Astyanax mexicanus: one gene and its partner. The protein of the gene in region 1 purifies or fractionates together with the protein of each later gene. This does not show direct contact. Links are inferred from orthologs where the notes say so. Each region holds a gene or a part of one and is shown in the gene's direction. Other genes may lie near its edges.

Evidence for each region. The genes of interacting proteins can lie anywhere in the genome.
Region 2: the proteins of polr2f (region 1) and DNA-directed RNA polymerase III subunit RPC9 purify together in Homo sapiens (affinity purification with mass spectrometry; 5 studies listed by BioGRID and IntAct, with this or other methods). This does not show direct contact. The link is inferred for Astyanax mexicanus from reciprocal best matches to the Homo sapiens genes POLR2F and CRCP.

The regions. Positions count from the first base shown.
Region 1 is NC_064410.1:9,736,123-9,746,989, reverse strand, and holds the start of polr2f (DNA-directed RNA polymerases I, II, and III subunit RPABC2), read left to right. Parts: upstream 1-3,633; 5' UTR 3,634-3,787; coding exon 3,788-3,807; intron 3,808-6,782; coding exon 6,783-6,852; intron 6,853-9,820; coding exon 9,821-9,951; intron 9,952-10,867. UniProt on the Homo sapiens protein: DNA-dependent RNA polymerase catalyzes the transcription of DNA into RNA using the four ribonucleoside triphosphates as substrates.
Region 2 is NC_064424.1:10,202,200-10,213,066, forward strand, and holds DNA-directed RNA polymerase III subunit RPC9, read left to right. Parts: upstream 1-4,986; 5' UTR 4,987-4,989; coding exon 4,990-5,057; intron 5,058-6,519; coding exon 6,520-6,556; intron 6,557-6,766; coding exon 6,767-6,865; intron 6,866-7,340; coding exon 7,341-7,435; intron 7,436-7,842; coding exon 7,843-7,900; intron 7,901-8,064; coding exon 8,065-8,208; 3' UTR 8,209-8,635; downstream 8,636-10,867. Other genes in the region: asl (argininosuccinate lyase), read right to left, coding at 75-158, 1,837-2,031, 2,200-2,214. UniProt on the Homo sapiens protein: DNA-dependent RNA polymerase catalyzes the transcription of DNA into RNA using the four ribonucleoside triphosphates as substrates.

The DNA.
Region 1 (10,867 bases):
GCTTTAGCATACATACATGCATACATACACACATACATAAACAGAAAAGCCAGCTTTTCAAATTCTGACCACAGTCCGGGTACGGACAGTAGTTTTCATGTGCAGGTTTGGTTAACCTTTTTCAGCAACAACAAAAACCTTTTCCCGGATCAAAAACAGAGCTGTAAGAATTTAGGGTTAGTTGTGGGTGGGTGTAGACTCTTACCTCTTTATAAACGCTGCTCAAACAGTTGTCCTATTCTAACGCTGCACCGGACCTCCGTAAGAACAGCACCGGAAAACAGAGGTTTAGTATCTTAAAGCCATTTTGTGTCACCTGTTATACCTGCATCTCATAAACAACAAAATGTCGGACTGATTATTTTTTACTTTCACTTTAAATACGCAGCTCATCAGCGCCCCACAGCGGAATGTAGTGGAAACGCAGCGCCACTTTTTCACAAATAAATAAAGCGAACACCAGGTCCTGTATGACCTTCCTACAACGCCTGGGCGTGCTCCTGATCTGTATTAAAGCATCAGTCAACTCCTAGACAGTCTGTGATGCTACCTACCATTGATGGATATCCCTGCACAGTGTTGGGCTGTAACAACAAGCCCCACTTGTTTCTGACAGTTTAAGCAGAAAAACTGATATTAGTGGTCTGCTTGACACAAAATGGATTTAAGATACTAAACCTCTGTTTTTCGGTGCTGTTCTTACGGTCAGCGACTGGGAGTCAGGAACCATGAGACCAAAACACATCTCCTGCATGACCAGAGCTGTATATGTTATGTCACTGTTAATCACTAGAGAGATCTCTATTAAACCATGATACAGAACAGCTGTAAATAACACACAGCTGGACTCTATTACCTAATTAAGTGTCAATTAATTGCATTGGTTTTTATTTAGAGGGTTCAGAATTAAGGGGGTTAAATACTTTTGCATGACATATTTTTTAGATTTTTATGATTAAAATTTTGGAAACCATGTATCATTTTTGTTCCACTTCACAATTATGTGCTACGTTTTGTTGGTCTATCACTTAAATCTCAATAAAATACATACAATTTATGGTTGTTATTTGAAAAAAAAATGGAATACCTCTCTAACTCTAAGCCCTGTGAGCTGCCTCTGACTTCCAAACTGTCCCTAAAAAAAAACAAAGAGATTTAACAATTTTTTCCATTTGTTAAATCTCTATTTTATTTCTCTTCCTATTTTCTGTATTCCTTTATTATTCACAAATTATCATTTTCTGTTTCTGTTTATTATGTTTTTTTCTATTTATTATGTTTTTTAATTATTGTATTTCAGCCAATTCCTACCATTCCAGGTTTAATTTGATCATTACACTACTCTCCACAGTCTAAAAGCTGACTTCCACATAATCTGCAGAATTCAGTCATACAGGTTTCTTTCTACCATTGCTATGTGAGCAGAAGGCCAGTATGTCTTTAAGGTTTATCTCTCATATAACATTATTACAAATAGTCCACCACCAAAGTTATGGTGTTAACTGGACAGTATAAAGTAAATATAATATTTGTCTATGTAATATGTTTCTATGTAATAATGTGTTCATTTTAAAGTACTTTCAGAGCTTAAAATATAGCTCTTCAAGAACAGGCTCAAACAATAATTATACACCAACTTTATAAAAGCATAAATGAAATGATCACTGCTTTAAAGGACACTGATAATAGATATTACACCAATACTGAGATGCGTTCACAGAGATTGTTCGGTAGTAAGATTGTGGGATAGAGTAGTAAAATACAGTTTTATCACTTAACCAGAGTACAATCCAACACATTTACTACACTCTGAAAAGCCACACTTTGAACTCTGCTATCTGCTGCTCTAAACAACAAACTCTCCTATTACTTTCTGTTTCTTTTTTAATGACACTGGGTGTTTTATTGGAAATTATTGTCTTTATTGTGAGTTCAGTTCATGCTAAAGAGTCATAATAAGAAGCCACAATTCACACATATTACACAAATCTTCAGCTGTACTGAAATCTAACAAATCCAGACTAGTGAAATTCTTAAATATTCTGTTACTGTAGAAACTGGGCAGATCTCTTTACTTGTTTTATGATATAAATGTGTTGTAGAATCACTTTCAGATTTCTATCAAATATATACCAGAATATCAGTGCTTTTACATTCCAATGCTCACAAGGTGCTTACCACACACAGCTATGCCCTGAACACACCAAACCTGATCCAGATCTTAAAGGGTTTAATAATTAACTGAAGATGTGGTGTGTTGTAACTGAGGATAATTTAAACTGGCCCTGGATATAGATTCTGAGGAATGCCTTATGCAACAACGACACCTTCTGGACAATCTAGTAAACAGTGTTCCACTCAGCTCCTTGGAAAATGTCTAGAATTTGTTCTTCTTCTTTGATACATTTTTCATAGTAGATAAATTAATAATTTAATAATTTCTAAACATTCTCATGTTTAACCCCAAAAGAGCTGTCTAACATTTTTAATTATATTAGCAAAAAACAAACGTATTTTTTTAGCAGTTCAATTGCAATTGCAACGTGACCAGTGAGAGAAAAAATATTATGAATCAATATTATTACAGTATTGTGTTCTGTTCCTCCTTGCTGTTTAGACATTTTTCATTTTAAGTGTTAAATTCAGGAGTTAAATAAGCAGATTTTATTCTATTCTAACACACCTGATCCAGTTTAACCAGCTCTGGATCCAGCTAGGTGTGTCTATATACTGTCCTTCAGTTCTGTCAGAGAGAAAAGCCTAAAGCAGGTCTCATGGCTAGAGCATTTATGCAAAGGCTCATTCTCCGCACTGGCAAAGAGATCTACTGATGCTGCTGTGCTGTGTAATTATTATTAGAATTTAAATCTAATAGATTAAATATGTTTTATTCTCAATAGAGCACGGAAATCACAGGATGTGCTGGAATGTTACAATTACAGATAAAAACAATAACTCGTTTAAAGTGGCGGCTTGTGATAAACATTATGATGGCAGTGCAAAAAACAAAAAAAACAAAACATTAAACATTTAATTGTGTCATGTGTGTGTTTATTTTCTCATACTGCGCACAGTTTAAAAGCCTGCATCTCTGTTGCATTAGTGCATGGCACTCGCATTGCAGTAGTGCATGGCACTCTTTTGATTGGCTACAATCCTTTATCAGACAAGACTGGGAAAACATTCTTCTCCCAGAATTATGAAATAATAAAGTAATAATTATAAGATGCTAAGTCATCATTCTGAAATATTGAGTCATAATTATCAGATAATAAATCATAATTATGGCATAGCAAGTCATAGTTATAAGATATTATCTCAATTATCTCATAATTATGACTTAGTGTGGGACCCATGTTTTTTTTCCAAAAAATCATAATTATGACTAAAATGAGCTTCAGAACAAAATATGAGTCTATGCAATTTGCAAAATCTGATTCTGTTTGCGTTTATTTCTGTGATAACGTGATGATACCGTGAATCTGGAAACTTTACCGCATTAATTGTCACATTGAGAAGTTTTATTTAGCGGTATAAACAACGCCTCTCCCTCCCTCTCCCTCCCCCTCCCTCCCTCTCCCTCCCTCTCCCTCTCCCCGCCACAGGTCATTTTCGGTGTGCGCTCCGTGTTTCTACCCGGACAGTTTACAGGAGAACACCGCTGAAGCAGCGCGGGGTGCAGGTTGCGGTGTGGCTTTAATTACTGATAGAATAAATAGGTTATTTTACTGTAATTTACTTCTAAATAAGCCTCTAGTTTAACCAGTAGATCCTCACTCAATCCAGGATGTCTGACAACGAGGACAAGTAAGTGTTTATAATCGCTAAACAACCCGAGTTTACCCAGACTTTATATCAGAGACAATACTTACGGTACTCCTACTAAAATAAATAACATTATTAATAACCCACTGATTAAATAACCGAGTTTACCCAGTTTATATCTGAAACAATACCACTACTGCTACTATTTCTAATATAAATAACATTAATAATAACCCACTGATTACATAACCGAGTTTACCCAGTTTATATCACCATGTTACCACCATACTACTATTATTTCTAATATAAATAACATTATTAATAACCCACTGATTAAATAACCGAGTTTACCAGGTTATATTAGAAGCAATACCACTACTACTACTAATATAAATAACATTATTAATAACCCACTGATTAAATAACCGAGTTTACCAGGTTATATTAGAAGCAATACCACTACTACTACTAAGTTACTAATATAAATAACATTATTAATAACCCACTGATTAAATAACCGAGTTTACCAGGTTATATTAGAAGCAATACCACTACTACTACTACTAATATCAATAACGTTATTAATAAACCACTGATAACCAAGTTTAGCCAGAGTTTATATCAGAGACAACTACTAATAGAAATAGTCATAATTTTATATATATAATATATTATATAATTATATATATATATATATATATATATATATATATATATATATATAAAGTATTGACTCATTTGTAATGTTGTTGTTGTTAGTAGTAGTAGTAGTAGTAGTAGTAGTAGTATTTTTGTCTCTCTGTTTTACACCCAGTTTTTTTTTTTTTTTTTTTTTTTTTTTTTTTTACTACAATCAACCAGAGTTTAACCTTAAGAGGTTAGAAAATTGAACTGATAAAGGTTAGATTTTCAGGGGTTTTTTTCAGTCTTATAATCTAAATTGCACAAAACAATGAAATATGGAAATTGTGAAAAAAAATTATGAAATGTGAAAAAAAAACACTATAAAATTCGAAAACTAAGTAAAACTTCATTTCTTTTTTGATATATTAAAGTACGTTTTACACCTATTTTAAGAAAATGCTAATGACAAACAATATATTAAAATATTATGGTAATTAAAGTCATATTGTAAAATCAGGATGTATATTTAAAGCAGAAAAGGTCATCATGAATAATTCAACATGTCTGCAACTCTATATCAAACATGTTACTATCAAATGCCAGTTTTCAATAAAATGGTCCATCCAGTCATGCAGTTTGCCATAACCGGGTGGACGCATGCAGGACAGCAAGTATAAAGTGATTAAGCTGGAAAATATGATTTCGGTGTAATCTTTTAATCTTATGTAATTTTAAAGGTTATGAGAATCCATAATGCAAAGTATTTTGATAATAACCTAAATAGTGTGTTATATTTCAGTCAGCTCAGTAGTGTTTTCAGCAATAATGTTGCTGAACCTAGACCTGACCTACTGCAGCAACCCCAGGTCATATCACTGCACCACAGGCTTGTATAGTACTGTATTTTTGCCCTTTTAGGTGCACTTAAAATCATTTCATCCTTCAAGTCACTCTGCTGAAGTACAGAGTTATACAGGAGATTCAGTTTAGTTCTCCAGCAGTATTAGCATTACCCACTAAGCGATATTTTTTTCGCCATTCAGAGGTGAGTATTATCGGCCTGTAGCCTGCTGCTTACCCCGACTAGCACTGCTGGAGCAGCATTAGCATTATGTGCTAACTGCGTTAAGCACTAGCCTTCTTTTTTCTGTTTAGAGGTGAATATATCAGACTGTAGTCTGCGTGTTTACCGTGTTAAAACAAGCTATGTGGGATGAATCGCTAGCTAATATCAGCCTGGCTTACTGGAACACTCAGGGTTCCTTAATGTAGTGCTGGCGGGCGGTGTTAGGTGCTAACCATGGCTAGTGCTAGTGATTAGCTGCTAATGTTAATATTGCTGCACCCAACCTTAGTGGAAATCAGAAAATCTAAGCTTACAGTAAATAAACAAAAGCTCTTTACTCACCCAAATAAACAATTTTCAGAAGAGAAATCTGTGTAGATTAACATAAAGAGACACCCCTGTTCCTTAATAGTGTTGCATAATGTGGCTTATAATCCGGCGAGCCTTATTTATTAAAATAGACAAAAAATAGACAGTTATTGATCGTGAGCAGTGAATTATAAGGTGTACTGATGATTTTTGGGAAAGTTAAAGGATTTTAAGTGCACCTTATAGTGCAAAATGCGGTAGACATTAGGCATGATTGGTGCATGGGTACAGCCTTCACTCTTCTTACCCTCATGCGCCCATCACTCTGGAACAGGGTAAATCTGGACTCATCTGAGCACATGACCTTCTTCCATTGCTCCATTGAGTCCAATCTTTATTCTCCCTCAAATTTGAGTTGTGCATGTGGAAATGCTCTTACTTTCACTATTAACAATGTCACTGAGTTCTAGTTTTTTCTACCATTTGATTTCACCAAGTGTTTAAATGATTGCAGATCATGTTCATTCAAGATTTTTTTTCTTTTTTCTTCCTTCCAGGAAGATGATGTTCCCCTCTGTCCTTCAAGTTTTTAATAATGCGATAACCCGATTCCCATCTCCTAAGATGTTTTCTTTGCTTAATGCATGCCAATAATTAGACTTTTCTAAAAAAAAAAAACAAAAAAAAAAACAACAACAACATATTTTCTATGACCAAAGGATGAGTCTTTCCACATGGATGTTTTTACAAATTAGGAGCTACTCACTGCATCAAACTTAATCACTTATGCAGTAATTATCCAATTGAAGGCTCTTACCTATTTTTTTAATTAAATCCACGTGGTGATTTTTTTTTGCCAGTGTATTAATGTCAGTGTTTTTGCCAGGCAGTGTATTAATGAGTGTTTAAACTCTCTGTCTGGGGGATGTGTGTTAAATGTGCTGTCAGTCTGATTCCTGTATAATCGGTGCTTTCTGAGTGTTGCTGCTTTAATCTGATCCTCTTCTGTCCGTTTCAGCTTTGATGATGGAGATTTTGATGATGTTGAGGAAGACGAGGGACTGGATGATCTGGAGAATGTGGAAGATGTAAGTGTTTTGATCTCTCAGATCTGATTCAGGTTCATCTTTATTAGATGACTAGAGTTGCAGACACTGCAGATTTTGCTCTAGTCTTCTTATCCCAATTAATTAATTAATTAATTTGTTCACCTCAACGTTTCTAATTATGCTTTTCTTAGCAGGAATAGCCCATAAACATAAATCGGCTGATAGGTCCACGTTTCCACAAATATTTTTTTCACATTTTATTTATATTATTTAAAATGTATTTACCAAATCTCATGTCTCACCATTCCCTAATAATTGTAGTCTAAATAATTGCTAAAACATTGCAATTGTATTATTATGCTATCATATCAATAGCATAAACTGGTCAAATAATAACAATTTTGTCATTTGTTTATTTTTTGGACAACAAAATTAAATAACCCAATAAAAATAGATATCATGACAGGCCTAGTCTTTAGGGTTGTGTGAAACATCTCATGATTGTCATTTGGTGCAGATTGGGGGAAAAAGAATAAACATAACTTTTAATACACACTCTTAAATAATTTGCTTACATGCATATATTCTGATATGGTAGTATGTGGCTCAGTGGTATTGCTGTGGTTTATATGGTTTACATTCAAATGTATGAGAGATTATTTATTACAATTACGTTATACATTCTTAAAATTTACTGAAATTAAAAAAGTTGATTCAGGGTTTTTTTGTTTTTTTTTTTGAAGATGTGGCAGAATATACATAAACAGCACAATTTAGGGCTATATGTTTTCAATAGTATACAAACACAATAAAACTTAATAGCAGTATTAGTATTAAAATCAGCATACAAACATATCTTTTAAAAATGGAACCATGCAAAACCTTCTTAGTTAAGGAAAAGTGTAAAATTGTAATAAAAGAAACATGGTGATATACATAGCAAATGAAATCTGTTGATAAACTCTTTGTACTACCAAAAATGCAAATATGATTTCTAAGTCATTTCATTGTTAATCATCAATACTGAACACTGACCCAGTTAGAGCCATAATTGTGTTTAATAAGGTGGATAGGGCCGGGTATAAAAATCGATAGCAATGGTTACCGGTTGAAATGTCTTGGTACTACGAGTGACGAAATGTCTAAAGAAATTTGGGTGCTGGTTTTCAATATTTCGCATGAAACGCACCAAACGCGAGAGAGCTCACACAGCGCGGTAAAAACAACCATTATGGCGCCGTGACGCACACAAGATGAGGATGAGATTACTCATGTTGGCTGCTTCTGTTTCTACTGTATGAGTGTTTTTATCCCAGTAAAATAGAGCAGTAACTACAGCCCTTTTAAATATATTTATACTGTAGCTTGAATTATTTGAATAGATTTTTTAAATGGAGAAAGAGGAATTGTGGCAGATTTAAATACTATAATGCCTCTATTGGCTTCGGGAGTAACATATAGTAAATTTATATAAAACTTGTGTCTTACTTGTGCAATAGAGCTTTTGAGAAATATCTCTTTGAATACTTAAACATAGTAGTTTTTAAACATAGAGTATTTTAGGTCCATTTATAGTGTTTATGGAACTATTTAAAATATTTTGTAAAGGAAGTTGTGTCAAAGTTGTTGGCGTATATTTTTAAGGTCTATTTATGTTCTTCAGCTGTTTTTCTGATAATGAGTCTGATTTCTTGTGCGATAAAGTAAACCCAATACTAATCAAAGCCTTAATTTTATATTATATGTACTACTAACAGTACAGTAACTCAGAAACCTATATTAATGCCAAGTCATGCAATAAAATAAATAACTACTGTGGTATACCTAAAAAGTACCGTTTGGGTATTTGTATCAAGTTTAAGGTACCATACTGGTATCGGTATTGCAAATTTATACACAGCCCAAAGCTAAGCCAATTTCCATTATTAACCCTTAATTTATTGAGTCTGAGTAATAGATCTTACCCACAGTAGCCAGGTTTTAAAAGAAATAAACTGTGTTTTCATTCACTGCAGGTATAAACTTTAGATTAGGTAGGCTGCCGTGACTGGGAGTGGGTTCTAAACAAGCAAAATGGAGAGATTTTCATGTCCATTTGCAATCCCTTTATGGCAGTGAAGTTTGCATTTTAAAGATGCCGTGCAGGACAAGCAGTGGCACATTTAATCAGGGCTAAAGTATTATATCTGGGAGTGCAAACAAAGCACACTATTTTAGGGGAATGTAGTTTATTTTTTAGAGCAGGTTTGGATTCAGCATTTCTGACAAAAACATAATTTAAAAAGCTCTGCATTATGATTAGACCATCTGTAGGACCTTTCCTTTCTAATCATCCACCTGTGCAAACTGACAAGAGAGTCGCCATACTTGTATACAAGCTGGGCACTTGCGCAGGGTATAGAGTAGTAAGTGAAACATTTAGTGTAAGCATATAAGCTTAATACATAATAATATATTCGGAAAACCCTTCTCCATCCCGCTTTTCTGCATTTTGGCGAAAAGTCAGAGATATTCTGACTTTTCTTAAATTTTGACCTTTTTCCATTCAGTCAAAAACTCTAGTCACTCTCTGGATTTCACATCTTTTTTACAGCAGTTGATCCAAATCAAAACCAAAAACACACAAAAAAAACTGCAACAGGCATATTAAGTTTAGTATTGCGTTATATTGTAATGTAAAAAACTGAGTATTAATTAAGAATTCTTAGAAAGTATTATCTGCATAAATAAGCCAGTGTAAGAAAAAATGAATAATTAAAGATGACTAAATGTCAGTAATCGTTCAGTTAATGATACTTGTTTTGGTATTTATCATATACTATTATTGTCTTTTAAAGTTATTAATACAATGATTCGTTAATGTTGTCTCCAGATATTGTCTGCCTGTTTTAAATATTTAAAATTGAAAGAAACAGTGGTACTTTTTTTTTTTTTTTTTTTTTGGGCTGTTGTTGCTTTTTTTATGTATTAAAAACATTATTGAGAAAAAAAAAATGTGTGTGTGTAGGAGGATCAGGAGAACGTGCAGATTCTCCCTGCTGGAGAGGGTCAGCAGGCCAATCAGAAGAGAATCACCACCCCCTACATGACCAAATATGAGAGAGCCAGAGTACTGGGTACCAGAGCACTGCAGATCGCGTGAGTTCTCACACACACACACACACACACACACACACACACACACTCTGAATATGTTTTTTTTTTTTTTTTTTTTTTTTTTTTTTTTTTTAATACATGAAATAATCATTTTGCCAAATTTGGTGCCGGTTTCCTGTTATTCATTCGTTTACAGCCTGAAGACACATTAAATGATTTATTCAGGTATGCTACAATCAAGTTAAGAAAGTAAAGACTATTTATTTATGCTGAAATATAAATTAAATCTTTACATTTAATTCCCACCACCCCATACACACAGGTGCTTCTGTTTGATGGTGAAGCTCAGTACATTAAAATATTCAAATGAAAAAGCATTAAAGATATTGTCATAAAGTAAAAATGGCTTAAATTACACAACACCTATTATTTTTGTCTTCCTCACAAAAAAATACCAGCATACAAATCCTTTTTTTGAGATTTACCGCAATAATATAAATATTCAGTTTCAATTAAACACAGAATAATGCTAGTTTATTAAATCACATCGTCTTTAAATCAGTTTTATACCACATTTTTGATAATGTTAATTTTTACGTTGCAACAAAGCGTATAAGGGTTGTTTTGAGCACGCTGCATGCGCTCTCCATGGTTGGTGTTAATGCACTCTCTATGCTTGGTCAGTAGTACCAAGAAATTTCTGTCTCAAGAAAAAGGATTTTTGGTATCGAATTTCGATACCCAGCCCTAACCAAAACCATCCTTTGACTAGGGCTGCAACGATTAGTTGACGTAATCTACAACATCAACTAGTGTGAGACTAGCATTAATTGAGTGTGAAAGAGAGAACGTGCACGTGAAATAGTTGCAAATCCAAAATGCAAAGCCTTTTCTCATGCCAATGAGGTTTCAGTATGGGTGGGACTTGCAGCAAGTGAGAAAGTGGGAGAGAGAAAAT
Region 2 (10,867 bases), on another chromosome or scaffold:
ACATTCCTGGTAACTATGGTTTGATTCAGAGATCTAAGTAGTGATGTGTTCAAAGACAATGAAACAGGCCTCACCTTCAGTCTGCGCTCATTGGCTGTGTGAATATCTTCATCACCAGGCTTGATCTGGAATTCACCATTGGACCACTCACCAAAAACCTGATTTTATGCAACAGAAACAGATTAACGCATTTCTGAACTTCCTGCACAACAAGATCCAACTATGCAACACAATGCCCGTCTTACGAAACCATAACCTTAACTAGGAAGTTTCAAATAATATGGATTTTATTAGTCAGCATCACAACACAACAGCAGTTCAACAATACAGTTTGCTGAAACAGAGTCGCATATTTTTCAATAGGCACTTGCCAACAGCATCGTCACATGATTCAGTGTCCACTATTGTTGTGTTTATATGAAAGTACAGCTGTGGACTGGGCCAAGGCACACTATTGTCTGGGAAACATTAAAGGGGAACTCCACCAACATTTCAAAATAGTTTTATATGTACAATACTGAGACGTAAGCAGCCACACATAGTGATTTGATTGGAATATGTCATTTAAATGGAAGTTTCATGCCATTAAATGCTTAAACTCTGAAAATTATTACATGAAACAGAGATATGTGAGATATGGTTTTGGCCTAAAACACATTGTTGAAAATTCTCCAACTGAAATGAATGGGCCAAAAATTAGATAAAAGTACTTTGGGTGCAATTTTTTTTTTTTTTTAATACATAGCATTTTTTAACATTAAGTCATATTGTGCTTTGTTGGCATGTCTGTTGGGATTCCGTATTCAGCCTTCAAACATTGTTCAGTTTTGGTTTGGGACAGCTTATTCTGTAAATCCCTAAACACTACATATAAAGTATAACTGAGAAGTGAAAAATGGACTATGGCACAGCTAGGACACAAGTTAACATCTAGTTAAAGAACACAAAGCTTTACAGCACATGAAATGCACATGAACTGGCTCTTGTTCTCTTTTTCTATCCGTTTTTCTCACTTCACCCTTACACCCTATGCTACCTGATAGCAAAAATATGTTAAATTAACGTTTAATTCCCATCTTTAATGCACTGAAACAACACTGATTTGATTTGACATCAATGAAAATTTTGGTTGTATTCTATTCAGATACATTACCAGTCAAAAGTAAATAACGGTTGTTTAAAGGTTGTTTGTTTTTTCATCATCAACCTTAAAAGATGTGCATCCAAATCAATGAAGGTTTATCCAGTGTATTATTATTACTATTGTTGTTATTATTATTATTATTATTATTATTATTATTCATAGTACCAGGTACAACATGAAAAATTGTATTACTTTGCTTTTATTATTTTTAATTTGATTATTATTAATATTTACATAAAAATAATAACACAAATATAATACACATTTTAAAAGTGTTATTTAATTATTTAAAATAGGTGTCTATGAATGTAAGTCCACTATATTTTACATTATGTGTAAATAATATTACAGGTGTAATAATAATAAAAATAATAATAGTTATTATTATTATTATTATTATTTATTGTATTCTTTGTTACTAGTTTGTATTGTGTTCATGCAGTGTAAAACATTTAATTATTACTATTTGAGGGGAACACCTTTCAACTACAAGCATAGTGTAGAGAAGTCACAACCTTTTAAAGCTATTTCACACTAACTAATGCCTATTGTTCTGTGTTAAATAAAGGTTGTTTATAGGTTGTTTTTCCATCATCAACCTTAAAAGATGTGATGCACCCTAAAGAAAAGTTTTATCCTCGTGTTGGATCACAGTCACAGAGACTTGAGCTTGAAGTTTACAGGTATCTAACCTTGTCAAGGCCTGAAAGAATCTGCTGCAATTCCTCCGGAGTGACCAGTCCAGCTTTCTGCAGAGCTTTCACATAAGCTTTACTCCCCCGAATGTCTGCATCCCACATGCGCTGATCGTAAGCGATGGACGCGTTGAATTTCTCCATTATTGGATCAGTGTTTCCAACGAACCTGCCGCCCCACAGCTTGTTTCCCTGCTCGGCAGGAACACATGACAGTTAGCTAGGAGGACTTACATTAAATTTAGGTTAGCTTTAAGCTAGCTTGTGGCTAACAGCTGCCTAAATATATCAAGATAAGTAAACAGATCAGCTCTGAAAAACAGAGATAAGTATTGTAATTCAGATTATAAGAGCTCTTACCTCTGATCCTGCCATGCTCCCTCCTCTCCAGTCCAGCTATCTCCTCTCTCTCTCTCTCTGTAGGAGCTACTGAGAGCTAGGTTAGTAAACTTGGCTAGACTGCTGCTGCTGTGTTTTGGCTGCCTATAAAGAAAAGCCTCATGAACTCAGTTAGCTATTGTGTTTACCTGGAACGTGTTCTGTGGTTTGGACACGCAGCAGGTGCTCTGCCCAAAGGAAGGCAAATAATCAGATTAATTAACAGTTACAGGATCATTAACGTGGAAATGCAGGTTCACAAACCAGTGTCAGTCAGTTGATGCAACAGCTGCCACAGCCTGCTGGTTTACAAATATCCAACATATCCCTCCCCTAAAAAACACTTCTCCCCATAATATATCCCTCCTCCTCTCAAACACACTCCTCCCCTCACAAACACTCCACCCCATATTATATCCCTCCTCCTCTCAAACACACTCCCATCTCTGACACTTGGAAAAAATTAAGTCATGATTATGAGATAGATAGAGTCTAAGGGGAATTATCTTTATAATTATGACTTACCATACCTACTGCATAACACAATATGTGTAAATAATATTACAAATACATTATTATTATTATTATTATTATTATTATAAGGAGTAGTAGTAGAAGTAGGAGTGGTAGTAGTGCTTGTGGTATTGTTGTTATTCGTAGTAGTAGTGGTAGTAGTAGTAGTAGATAAACAATAAACATTATTTTTAATTATTTTTATTAATATTTCTATATATTACACATTTTAAAAGTGTTAATAAAACACTTCATTAAAATATGTGTTTTAGAAAAGTAAGCCTACTGTATTACACATTATGTGTAAACTATATTACAACCCCTGGCAAAAAGTATGGAATCACCAGTCTTGGATGAGCACTCCTTCAGACATTTCATTCTGTAAAACAAACTCTGATCAAAAACATGATACAATAATAAGGTCATTCCAAAGTGCAACTTGTTGGCTTTCAGGAACACTCAAAGAAATGAAGAAAAAACATTGTGGAAGTCAGTGAATGTTACTTTTATTGACCAACCACAGGGAAAAAAATATGGAATCACTCAATTCTGAGGAAAAAAGTATGGAATCATGAAAAACAGATAAACAAAAGATGATTCAAAATACATCACTAGTATTTAGTTGCACCACCTTTGGCTTTTATAACGGCTTTCCGTCTCTGAGGCATGGACTTGATGACTGACAAACAGTATTCTGCATCAATTTGGTGCCAACTCTCTTTGATAGCAGTTGCCAGATCAGCTTTGCAGGTCGGAGCCTTCTTGTGGACCATTTTTTTCAATTTCCACCACAGGTTTTCAATTGGGTTGAGAGCTGGACTATTTGCAGGCCATGACATCGACTGAATGTGTCTTTCTCCAAGGAATGCCTTCACTGTTTTTGCCCTATGGCACGATGCATTGTCATCTTGGAAAATTATTTCATTATCTCCAAACATCTGTTCAATTGAAGGGATGAGAAAACTGTCCAAAATGTCAATGTAAACTTGTGCATTGATAGAAGAATTAACCACAGTCATCTCCCCAGTGCCTTTGCCTGACATGCAGCCCCATATCATCAAGGACTGTGGAAATTTGGTTGTTTTCTTCAGGCAGGCCTCTTCATAAATCTCACTGGAACGGCACCAAACAAAAGTTCCAGCATCATCACCTTGTCCAATGCAGATTCTTGACTCATCACTGAAGATAACTTTCATCCAGTCATCCACAGTCCATGATTGCCTCTCCTTAGCCCACTGCAGTCTTGTTCTTTTATGTTTAGGTGTGAATGATGGTTTTCTTTTAGCTTTCCTGTATTGAAATCCCATTTCCTTTAGGCGATTTCTTACGGTTCGGTCACATACATTGGCTCCAGCTTCTTCCCATTTATGCTTCATCTGTTTAGTTGTACTTTTTCGGTTTTCAAGACAAATGGCCTTAAGTTGCTTGTCTTGACGCTTTGATGTCTTTCTCGGTCTACCAGTACGCTTGGCTTTAACAACCATTCCATGCTGTTTGTATTTGGTCCATATCTTGGATACAGCTGACTGTGAACAGCCCACATCTTTAGCAACCATGCGTGAAGAGTTACCTTCTTCAAGAAGTTTCACAATCCTCTCTTTTGTTTCAAGAGACATTTCTCTTGTTGGAGCCATGGTTCTTGCCACTCTAATTCGTCCAGCAGCCCTCCAAGGTGTCATGACTGCAGGTGTTTTTAACTGCAGACTAACGAGCAGATCTAATCTGAGGCAGGTGTCCATTTAGGGAAAGGAAATTGACTGGGTGTGTCCTTATTTTCTACCTTCAATTTGAGTGATTCCATACTTTTTTCCTCAGAATTGAGTGATTCCATATTTTTTCCCTGTGGTTGGTCAATAAAAGTAACATTCACTGACTTCCACAATGTTTTTTCTTCATTTCTTTGAGTGTTCCTGAAAGCCAACAAGTTGCACTTTGGAATGACCTTATTACTCTATCATGTTTTTGATCAGAGTTTGTTTTACAGAATGAAATGTCTGAAGGAGTGCTCATCCAAGACTGGTGATTCCATACTTTTTGCCAGGGGTTGTATAAATTAATAATAATAATAATAATAATAATAATAATAATAATAATAATAATAATAATAATAATAATAATAATAATAATAATACTATGTTATTTGTAGTTGTAGATAAATAAATGACAAATATTATTAATTATATGTAATTATTTTTAAAATAAAAAAATATTTTTAACTAAACTGTGGCAGATATGTCGTTGACTTTGTTGTAGGAACGCATGCGTGGGGTACTGTTTCTACCCGACGGTTTACAGGCGCGGACCCTAACAGAGTGCACTATGGAAGTGTAAGAGTGTTTAAAATGTTTTTGTTTAGACATGAAAATTTAAATGAAATATATTATATGTCACTGTTTGTTTAACTGGTTACGAACATTAAAAATATATTACTATAATAGATATAGATAAACCGCTAATGTAAATATTAACCGGGTGTCTGGCTCGTGGCGCCGCTGGGAGGTCTAGGCAGTGCTGAGTGAGGTTAGGAGAAACATGAAGAGCTGCTGCTGGTTTATGGGCTTATTAATCTACAGTTACCCACATCTAACCTCGAGTCTTGGGGTAAACCAATATAAAATAGCTAGAAACACAAAATTATGTTAGGAAGACATCCATGCTAAACAACCGGATAAGCTACTAACAATACTCTTGGTGAAAACTTCTAGAATACTGTACTGTAAAAAAAAAATTGAAGTGTTATAATTGCATTTAATGTGATATGGCACACCCCTGACTAAGATATTAAAAAATACAATACTTTTTTATCAGATAACAGATCTGAAATGTCATGATACTAATAATGCACTGTTAATATCTCCATATATCCAGGACTAAAGTAAAATAAATGATACTGCACAGATATACTCTGTAAAAGCGAATTTTTGTTTTGCTAAAAACAACAGAACTTGATGTGATAATTAGGGAAGAGTGATGTGGCACGATATTTAAGGGTATAAAATTATCTACAATATTAGTATTTTCTCAGTGTCCTTAAGTTACCTGAAATAGTTTTCTTAGTGTCTTGAAGAAAGGAGTGCTGAACAATAGTTGCTGCTTTTTCTTCACGCTGTAAAGTTCCAGCTTTTGTTGGGTCCTTACATTGTTTCATGTGTTTAATATCAATCTACAATGTAGTAAATAAATAAAGAAAAAAATCTATGATGTGTGTTCAAACTGACTGGTACTGTATATATAAGTAACATTTTACAGTAAGAGTACAACTTTTTTTATCTAATTATTTACATAATTCCTATGCATTAAAGAATTTAAATGTACTAATGTTTAATAATATCTTATCTAGGGTCAATTAAACATGAGGCATTACTTAACCATTTAAGTGTTCATTACTGTTATCAGTAGTGTTTATTGTGACATATATGCATACAAATTGTGACCTAAAATACCATAAGCTTGTGTGGCCCTCATTTGCATTACATATGTTAGGTAACAAATGTCAATGCATGCGTCCACAAAACTAGTCTTTATTAATGCATTCTGCTGCAACTCCTGCTTTCACTTTCTAAATGTTGTGTTTAAATTTGCCACAAAGCTCTTTACCATAAGTAACCTTTATGATTGTGTAATCACTCTACTGATTTAGCTCTGGTTTAGTCCTGGGTTGTAAATAGAGATATTTGAATGAAATTTTAAGTGTTGATTCTTCTCAGCTGAACATCATTTTGAACAGCACAACTTCACCTACCATTGCTTAAATTGTTATTTAAACACTTATCCATGTCTGTGCTGCAGGAGGGATGCAAATGCTGCCATGCTCAGCAATTTTGAGGTCAGTAATTTTACTTATGTTTACGTCTATTAATCAAGTACACTATTAATAATTTTTATTTTATTAAGTAGTATTGATATGTCAAAAATGACTGAAAGACACATTGATGCTTTAACCATCCATGCACAGAAAAGGAAATATTGGTTAATTTCAGGCTTTTTAGTTTGCTGAGGGTTTGTAAATTTGTGTTTTGTGCTTTTACCCTGTTAGGTGTATCAGCTTCTCATTGAGCTGAAAGAGAAGAGAAAAGAGATGGTTAAAAACAAGCATAGCACTGGACAACAGAACCTTAACACAATAATGTATGAGGTTAGTGACCCGGCAGAGCATTCTTTCCATCAAGTTTTACATTGCGGTGCAATGATTTTTAAAATCTTTTGTTATGATATAGATTAATAAAAGGGCAACCACAAAGAGCCCAAGATAAATGAAACTTATTTTTTATATTTGTTGGTATTTATTATTATTAATCAAGGAGAACAGTAATACAATAATGGTGAATAGATTGTGTATAGTTTGACAATTATTAAGATTTATTTCTTTCATTTTACCCACCCCTATTTGTCTCTCTATTATTTGAGCAGTGTTAACAAATGGGATGACTGGGCTTTGTTGCTTACATACTTACTTAATTATGTTAAGTAGAATTCTGTACATTAACTGCAGCATTATACAACTGTTTAATTTTTTTATTTAATCATCATGCAGTGTAGAAAATATTTACATATTCCAGTCAGCCTTCATGTATATTTTTATTCTGTTGCTTGTCTTATTTCTCCTGCAGACTCTGAAGTACCTCTCTAAGACGCCATGTTCTCACCAGAGTCCTGAGAATGTAAAAGATTTCCTGACTGCAATGCTCCCACACAAACTCACCAAGTAAGAATAGTCATACTGGCAACTTTGGCCCATTTCTAATGCTGTTCAGTTTTTGGTTGACTTGATTTATTTTTGCTTTTGAAAATCCCCAGCAGCTTGTTCTAAACTTACACTTGACAGTTCATCTGCTATGTCACATGTGCTGTGGTGCACGTTCACTTTGTATCTCTAATTACAGAGTGTGGTTTGTCTGCCCTCTGCTGATCAACTATATAATTTTCACTTTGAGACACAGCACGGTGCACTTTATGACTTGTCATGTGGCGTAGCAGCCTGCAGTAAATTGTATATTGTGTCTTCTCTCTTTTGTCTTGTCACCGTTGTATGGATTATGTCACTGTTTGGGAAATGTTTAGTCAGATTTCCTTTTCATCCTTTTCTTACTTTTTGTCTTTGTGTCTTTTCAGGGCCGAGAAACTGCAGCTCTTGAACCACAGACCAAAAACGGCCGTGGAGATCCAGCTGGTCAGACTTTTCTTTTTTTCTTTCATTTTTTATGTCTGTTTCTAAGGTAGACTATTTCTAGTTGTTTGCTGCAGTGATTAAAGAATATTTAATGTATGAGTACCTTTGCATACATGTATACATGTGTATGACATGTTCTATATAAACTGTTCTTTTTTGCATAGATGGTAGAGGAGAGTGAAGAACGATTGTCTGAAGATCAGATAGAAGAGCTTATACAAAAGGTCACTGAAATCCTCCCTGGAGACCCTCAGCAAGAAGAAGGTGCTCCTGGAGATGCTGAGATGGATGCAAATGCAGACCAGTGATGAAATCTCAGGAAACCCTTCACCACAATCTATTTCCTGCTTGTTTTGAAGTCTGCATTTGTATGGTGGTTTATAAGGTCCTATAAGATGAGGAAATAACCCTTTAAGATTAGGAGCGAGGATGTTGTTTTGAACTGGGTGCATTTTGTTTCTCATTACATTAATGAGAGTTTGTGTTGCCAGTATTTATATGTATAAATATAATGAATGAAACATATGAGCAACTTAATTGTGGTGACCATGTAGTTTTATGTTAATTATTAGCATTTTTTTTGACTGAACTGATTTATTTTTGTGTAAATGGTGTGTCATTACATACTGTACATGAACTACCATTTAAATTGTAGTTCATGTACAGTGTGTATTGAAAGTTAGCTGGAAAACCTAATAATAACACCTGTTTTAAATAAAATATCATGAAATCCAACATTTTGTTTTTTTTTGTTTATGCAGAGCCACCTATTAATCCCCTTGCAGTTTAGTGCAGTCAAAGGATTGTTTTCTCAAAAAGGGTGTTGGTGGTTAGAAGCTGGAGCCAGGGTGTTTAAATGGGTCAGGGGAGAAAAAAGGATGTGTGCAATTTACAGCAGAGCAAATACATACTTCCTCTCTTTCGCTTCTCTGTTAAAACATAACATACAGGCTTTACTGAACAACAGATCACTACACACTGTTTAGTTGTCTTGAGCCAGTCTTACTTTGGTTTTACCTGTTAGCGATGGTGGATTGTAACAAAGTATGTGTAATTTGTTACTGTACTTAATTTTTTTTTTTTATCTTATATTGTGAAATATTATTTTCCATTACACTGCACACATTTTTAAAGTCTATATGTAATTTTTATTCCTCTTAATTTGTTTCTTTTGGCTTCTTTTGCATAAAAACAACCTGCCGAAACACAAGAATCAAATGAAAGAAACATGTTGTTGCACTTGATATTTGGGGCAGCGGTGGCTCAGTGGTTAGACCACCGGGCCATTGACTGCAAGGTTGTGCATTCAATACCTGTGTTTGACAGACCTTCACTTCACTCTGTGAACTGACATAGATACTGAACATCCTAAAAGCATCACAGGACAGTGTGTGATTGTCTGGAGATAAAACTAGCTAATTTTAATAGTGCAGCTTTAGCTCACAGGTCTTTTCCAAACATGTAACCATTCAAATGCTTAAAAAAAGAAAGAGTGGCCCAAAATGCCATTGTAACTAGTTCTGGTACAATTTCCAGAACAAAATGTTAAAATACTAATTATGAAATTGTGGTTATACTATTTATATCATGATTTTAAAATTAAATAGTTTTTCTTTTATCACAGTGAGACAGAAAAACATAAATTAACTGCTCAAGTAATTTAACATATTTGTGCTTTTGGATCCATAATCTGAATTGCGTCTGGCCTATTATGGGCTACATATATAGATGTGACATAATAATAAATATTCAGGTGTAAAACTAGGTTCAAAAACAGTTTTTGATAAACAAAATACAAACTAATGTGAAATGTTTTTTGTTTGCAAAAATGAAAAGGGTGTAAGGTATTAAACAGGGTATGGGTTTTGGGACACTACAATATATTGTATTACAACATAAATATTACAATATGCATGCTGTATTTCATACGAAAATATTTTGTGTATAATAAATTAAAAAAAAGTACAAAATATATCCTTTTTAATTTTTTTTTTGTTGAAAAAATAAAAAATAAATATATATACCTGGTCACCGTAACTTCAGGTCTTGATATTGACTACATTACATTCTGTTAAAAGACTAAATCTAATCTATTTGAATCTAATATATATCTGAATCTAATAATTTGATTAAGAAAGAGCCTTTTATTAAAGTTTTAATAGGAAATTAATGCCATAATAAAACATGGTATTACATATTTTAAAAGCTTAAAATTCATATTTGTATTTCATAGTTCAGCCAATGGTGTGCAGCAAGGTCCAGAGAGTAAAAATCCATTCCAGGATTTTGTTTCAACTGCATGGGTGACTCTGCAGACCAACTCTAACACCAGGAAGTTGGAACATAATCCTGGCATGGATTTAAATTTTCTGGACCTGAATTGCCAATCTCTAACAACCAATAAGATTGGAGTTTGCTGGAGGAGAGCTCCAGTGGCTGTGGTTTAGTGAGCTGTCTTGAAGTTCAGTCTTGCATTTTAGGTTGGACAGTCATCTGTGAGCAAAGCTTATTGGACAAAGTTCAGTAGAGACTTAGAAAAGAATAGAAAGCGTGTTTTGTAAATAACATCTCTGTTAAATAGCTACGTAAATGGGTTTAGCTCAATTTCGAGCTGCAGTCTAATGCTTCACTTACCTGGGTTCCTTCATGTCTGTTTTAACACTTCAGGTAAACTTAGCCTTAGTACTTTTAATTTTTTTTATTTAATTTAATTTTCACCACTGCGAGAATGACCGACTGGGAGCTGCTGTAGGTAAGTTAACGCTACCTAACCTAGCTAATAACTAAACCATGTTAATATCACGTTCTCCTTGTTTGAATACGAAATATAACGTTGGGATACCAAAAGAAATTCAGATTTAGGACTATCGACTGCCAGCCGGGTTCACACTACCTCCTGTAATCACAAGAACGTTAAAAATCTAACCTAGCTAATTTAGCTAGCTAACTAGCTAACGTTACTAACCA